Linked DNA regions of Callithrix jacchus. The protein of the gene in region 1 purifies or fractionates together with the protein of each later gene. This does not show direct contact. Links are inferred from orthologs where the notes say so. Each region holds a gene or a part of one and is shown in the gene's direction. Other genes may lie near its edges.

What was found. Proteins that work in one complex are often made in the same cells at the same time.
Region 2: the proteins of PTCH1 (region 1) and GRK2 purify together in Homo sapiens (affinity purification with western blotting; 3 studies listed by BioGRID and IntAct, with this or other methods). This does not show direct contact. The link is inferred for Callithrix jacchus from reciprocal best matches to the Homo sapiens genes PTCH1 and GRK2.

Annotation. Positions count from the first base shown.
Region 1 is NC_133502.1:78,815,220-78,817,727, reverse strand, and holds part of PTCH1 (protein patched homolog 1), read left to right. Parts: intron 1-362; coding exon 363-911; 3' UTR 912-915; intron 916-1,405; 3' UTR 1,406-2,508.
Region 2 is NC_133511.1:124,362,368-124,366,020, forward strand, and holds part of GRK2 (beta-adrenergic receptor kinase 1), read left to right. Parts: intron 1-644; coding exon 645-721; intron 722-2,370; coding exon 2,371-2,444; intron 2,445-2,586; coding exon 2,587-2,688; intron 2,689-2,794; coding exon 2,795-2,869; intron 2,870-3,006; coding exon 3,007-3,068; intron 3,069-3,653. UniProt on the Homo sapiens protein: Specifically phosphorylates the agonist-occupied form of the beta-adrenergic and closely related receptors, probably inducing a desensitization of them. Key regulator of LPAR1 signaling.

The DNA of each region.
Region 1 (2,508 bases):
CACACACTTGGCAGCTTCGGGAGAAGAGCAGTTCGGGACCTTCAGGACTGAACAGGGTGGGGAGGAGGTCGTTGGGGGCAGCGGCTTGGATGCTCTGACCACAGCCCACATTCATGGACAGCAGCAGTGGTGTCCGGCCAGCTGTGTCGGAGAAAGCCTGGAACCAAGATTCAAACAAGGCGCTCCTCTGCCAGGTCCCGGAGGCTGTTGGAAGGATGGGCTTTTCTCCTGCGGGTGGAAGGCCCCCTCTGGTTCCCCAGGGTTGACTGACTCTTTGGAGGGAGGTGTGGGAGCCGTAGGGGCCCATGCCCAGCCTATGGCAGCACCCTGCCCACCCTTCTAACCCACCCTCACCTCTACAGGTGGTCCCTCCCGAATCCAGGCATCACCCACGCTCGAACCCACGACAGCAACCCCACCTGGACTCAGGGTCCCTGCCTCCTGGACAGCAAGGCCAGCAGCCCCGCAGGAACCCCCCCAGAGAAGGCTTGTGGCCACCCCCCTATAGACCGCGCAGAGACGCTTTTGAAATTTCTACTGAAGGGCATTCTGGCCCTAGCAATAGGGACCGCTGGGGCCCCCGCGGGACCCGTTCTCACAACCCTCGGAACCCAGCGTCCACTGCCATGGGCAGCTCCATGCCCGGCTACTGCCAGCCCATCACCACTGTGACGGCTTCTGCCTCCGTGACTGTTGCTGTGCACCCGCCACCTGTTCCTGGGCCTGGGCGGAACCCCCGAGGGGGGCTCCGCCCAGGCTACGAAGGCTACCCTGAGACTGACCACGGCCTGTTCGAGGACCCCCACGTGCCTTTCCACGTCCGGCGTGAAAGGAGGGATTCAAAGGTGGAAGTCATTGAGCTGCAGGACGTGGAGTGTGAGGAGAGGCCCCGGGGAAGCAGCTCCAACTGAGGAGGTGCGTGCCACCAGTGTCAGCAGCTGAGGGACCCAGAGCCAGGCAGAGAAGAGGCAAGGCTCTCCTGGGGTTCTCAGCGTCCCTGAGGGGCCCCGGCACTCAGGCCCATCCTGTGCTGGACCCCAGTGACCTTTTATCCCAGGGCAGAGCTGATGTGTTCAAGCTTTGTCATCCTTGGGGAACCAGTCCAGCCCCACACTGGGTCTCTCTTCCCCTGCTGCTGACCTGTGGAGGGTCGGTGCAGCGCCACAAGGACAGAGCAGTACCACCCTTTACCTGTTTGCCAATCTTTATTGGTCCCATGGGAACGTGTCTGTGTAAGCAGTCCCCAGATGAAGGGAGCAGTCACAAGCAGCCCCCCGGAATCCTCAGGCCCACACCCTACTCTCCTGATTGCTAACGCCAAGATCACTGCTGCCTGCTTTTGTTCTTTATTAATATGGATCCGCACACCTCTTAGTTCAGCTTCCTTTTTTGATTCTTTTTAAAGGGTGATTCTGAAGCAAAGAGGCCAAAGATTGGAAACCCCCGCCCCCACCTCTTTCCAGTACTGCTTGAAGAGAACTGCTTGGAGTTATGGAAGACGCCCTGCACCAGGATAGCAGTTCATTGTTACTGTAACCGCTTGTATTATTTTGTGAAATATTTCTATAAATATTTAAGAGGTGTACACATGTGTAATATAGGAAGGAAGGGTGTAATGTAGTATGATCTGGGGCTTCTCCACTCCTGCCCCAGAACGCGGAGGCCGCAGTGGGGCCTCTCCGTATTTGTGCGTTGGGCTCTGTGCCACAACCAAGCTTCGTCGGTCTTAAATTTCAGCATATGTTGCTGCTGCTTAAATATTGTATAATTTACTTGTATAATTCTATGCAAATATTGCTTATGTAATAGGATTATTTTGTAAAGGTTTTTGTTTAAAATATTTTAAATTTGCATATCACAACCCTGTGGTAGTATGAAATGTTACTGTTAACTTTCAAACACGCTATGCGTGATAATGTTTTGTTTAATGAGCAGATATGAAGAAAGCACGTTAATCCTGGTGGCTTCTCTAGGTGTAGTTGAGTGCGGTCCTCTTGTTTGGCTGTGTGTGTGAACATGTGTGTGATTTCACCATGTACTGTACTGTGATTTTTTTTTGTCTTGTTTCGATTCTCTGTACTATCTGTAACCCTTGTAAGCTCTGACCTAGTCAGGCTGGAAGCATCAGGATATCTTTTATTACTTTGTGCTGGTGAGGGCTGGCCCTAAACATCTGCCCAGTCCTTTCCAATCTGCCCAGCAAAAGCAAGACTCTCCTCGTGTCCACAGGGTCTCTTCTGATCATTGGCTGCCATCCAGGACCCCAATTTGTCCTTCAGGAGAATAAGCTCCTTCTCATGGATCATTGTGATGGATGCTGGAACCTCAGGGTATGGGGCTCACATTAGTTAATCATCGTGGGTGTTAGAGAATTGGGTGACATGCCTAGTGGAGAGCCTTGGCTGGGCCATGAGAATATACTCTAGAAAGCATGCAGCATTGAGCCCCTCTTACGACCAACACACACATGACCTGTCCCCCCACACCCCCAAATTCAAGAGTGGATGT
Region 2 (3,653 bases), on another chromosome or scaffold:
GCGACGTAGTAGTTTTTAGTACATTTACCATGTTGTGCAACCCTTATCCAAAAAGAAACCCCATTCCCCACCAGCATTCACCCCTCTCCCTTCCCCAGCCCCAGCAGCCACGGATCTGCATTCTGTGTCTGTGGATCTGTTCCCATGAGTGGAATCTCTCAATATGCTACGACCCTTTGTGACTGGCTTCGTTCAGCCTCATGTTTTCAAGGCTCATCCATGTGGTGGCCCGTTGTCAGTGCCTTGTTCCTTTTTATGGCCGAGCTATGTGCCACTTTGTGAAGATGCCACGTGTATCTGTTCATCAGGTCACAAATCAGGCTTTTGTGATTTGGCCAAGTTCCCAAAGCCAGCCAGTGGCAGCACTGGGACCAGACCCCACAGGCCATGGGCCTCTGAGCAGGGGCCACCTGCTGGCCACCCTGGCCTTTGGGGACACAGCCTGGCAAGGGTGGTGCAGGCAAAGGCTTCCTCGAAGCCCTCTGGTCTGACCTGTGGCTGGGATAAGTAAGTAGACCTGACAGGGTGGCCTCCTTCCTGGAGGGGGCAGTGACACCACCAGCAGCGCCCTCAGCTCGTGTTTCTGGGCCTACAGCCCTGACAGGGCTCTGGGGCTTCTGCTTACTGTGCCCCTCATCCCTCAGCATCCGCAGTGTCATGCAGAAGTACCTGGAGGACCGGGGCGAAGTGACCTTTGAGAAGATCTTCTCCCAGAAGCTGGGTGAGTATGGCAGCGGCTCTGCCAGCCACTGGGGTTGACTTCTTGCCCCTACCCCAACCGGCCCACCTGTGCTCCCCACTCTCTGGAGGTTTGGCCTCCCATCCACTCAGTGAGACCCCAGGGGTTGCTCCAAGTCTCGGTGACCCCGCATGCCTCCCACACCCTGGCCATCAGCCCAGGGAGCCCCGTGGTGGGGGTGGGGGCCCAGAGTCTTACAGGGCCGTCAGGGAAGTTCCTCCTTTGGGGTTTTTGTTTTCGAGAGTTGCAGCTTCCCCTTGGCGCTGCCGCAGCTGCTCTGGGTCGTTGGTGGAACTGACAGGAAGAGGCGGGGCCCTTCCTGTGGAGCCTGCTGAGCTGTGGTTGGCCCCGCCCCACCCCATGGGCCCTCTTTGTAAGCAACCTGCCTGGCACTGGCCCTCCATTTCTCCAGCTGGTGTCTGATGCCTGCTGTCAGGAGTCATATGTGACCCACCCTGTGGACCTGGCCCAGAGGGCAGGCTTGGGGCAGGTCTCAAGGAAGCAGGTGCCAGCCGCACATGGCTCTGATTTGGCCTTCCCGAGAACAGGAGCTGAGCTCTGGACAGAGAGTATCCTGGCCCAATAGGATCAGGCATTGGAGATCAGCCCGGGGGAGTCAGTGTATCAGGAAGCACAAAATTTGGGTCCCAGGCCTGTGCCACGTGTCCTTGGGCCAGTTACTTCGCCTCTCTGAGCTGATGGTGTCCTTATCTGGGAGATGGGACTCATGAGTCTCACTGCACAGGCCTGTCAGGGTCAGATGAGAGCACTGTGCCCACTGTGAAGCTCCTCCTTGTTCCTCAAGGACCCTGCCCTAAAGGCCAGGCAGTGATGACGCTCAGGGACCAGGTCCCAGGGCCCAGGCCTTTCATTCAAGCATAAGGACACCCTGTCTCTATCTGGGGTCTCCTGAGAGCTTTCTCACAGCCCACGTTGCCTCTCCAGTTTCCTGTGGCCCATCCCCTTTCCATACCCCCTTCCCTGAGCCCCTAGCCCCCAACCTCTTTCCCTGGGACCTGCTACCTAGTGGAGGAGCCCTGAGTTCCACTCAAGCCTCTGCCACAGACAATGTGTCTGACCAGCTCCCCGAGCCTCAGTTTCCCCAACTGGACCTGCCCTCCCTGCCACTTTCTCAGGCTGCTGGGCAAATCAGCCAGACAATGGAGGGAGGCTGGGTCCAGAGGAGTGGTGTGGCCCCTCAGAGCCCCCTGCTCACCTTCCCCGCATACTGGAGCCTGACCTGGCCCTGGTGGCCACAGCATCGCAGGGCCCCTAGACAGGATCGTGTTGCACCTGCACAGCCCGCCCTGGTGGGGGGTGTTGGCCTCACAGAGCAGGCACAGGGCCCTGCTGTAGTGAGTGGGGGTGCCAACCCTGGTTGCCCGTCGCCATCCAGCTGCCTTCTGGGGAAACAGATTTCAGGAAGAGGGTAGAAACACGGGCCCCAACCCAGAATCCAGGAGTCTTCAAGTTGGCAGCAGCCGCCTGGTCCACCCCCTTCCTGGGGCCGAGACCACTTCTGCCACCTCCATACCCAGTTCTACTCAGGGAGCCCCAAACCATGCCATCTGCGATGATGGGAAGGGCTCTGAGAGAGGCGTGGCTCTGTGACCTGATATGGTTGCCTTCAGGGTACCTGCTCTTCCGAGACTTCTGCCTGAACCACCTGGAGGAGGCCAGGCCCTTGGTGGAGTTCTACGAGGAGGTGAGGCAGAGGTCTAGGCCCTGCTCTGGCCAGAGAAAGGGAAGGAGGATGGGGCAGCTTGGTGGAATCCACAAGTCACCTGGTGTAGGTGCCCCTGTGACCTGCTGGGCTATAGATGACCTGCGGGAATCCCGTCCTCCAGATCAAGAAGTACGAGAAGCTGGAGACGGAGGAGGAGCGTGTGGCCCGCAGCCGGGAGATCTTCGACTTGTACATCATGAAGGAGCTGCTGGCCTGCTCGCACGTGAGTGTCCTGGACTGGCCCTGCGTGCTGGACCAGAGTCACCTGTGTGTTGGGAGGGGAAGAGAGCACCCTGCGAAGAATTCATGGCCACTTCTGTCTTCCTCAGCCCTTCTCAAAGAGTGCCACTGAGCATGTCCAGGGCCACCTGGGAAAGAAGCAGGTGCCTCCGGATCTCTTCCAGGTATGTGCCTCCCAGTCCCCACCCAGGCGAGGTCACCTTGGACAGCCCGGGTCAAAGAGCCTAGTTAGCTGGGGGTGGGGCCTGGGCAGCCATGGTCTCTAGGGGCTCAGTCACAAACTTCCAGTTTCCTCCCTTAGCCATACATCGAAGAGATTTGTCAGAACCTCCGAGGGGACGTGTTCCAGAAATTCATCGAGAGGTGAGCGCGGGGTGGTGTGGAAAAGGAAGGGCGAGGAAGGGGTTGCTTATGTGGCTGGTGTGGAGGGTAGAAGCCAGCCTTCATTAGGCCCTGAGCTGGCAGGTGTCTGGTCCGTCAGTGGCCCCCTTGCTAGGACTCCTGAGAGGTCAGACAGGCTGCAGGTCATCCTCTTTCACTCTGCCCTCCTCAGTACCAGGCAGCTCACAGCCCGTCTCAGGCTGTTCTCTGGGAGCTAGGAGAGCCACACCACCTGTGGCTCTTCCTCTCCCGAGGGCTATATAGCACTTTGCTGGCCCACCTGGGCTGAGAAGCATCAGGGTCAGTAGGGGTGGGTGCAGGAGAGCACATGGCCCCCATGGCCCTCACAGCCAGAGTTGACACAGTGGGTGAGAATTGTAGGCAGATTTTGGCTAGCTTTAGGGAGTGGCTTTTTTAGTGTCACTGCTGCCCAGCCATGGAGTGAGCTCTGTGTCACTAGAGGTATGCTAGCAGGGATGGGAGCAGGAAGTCTGGGTTAGACTGGAAGACCTCCTCTCTATGCTGATCTGATTCCAGCAGGAAACCATAGCCAGGTGGCCGAGGCCC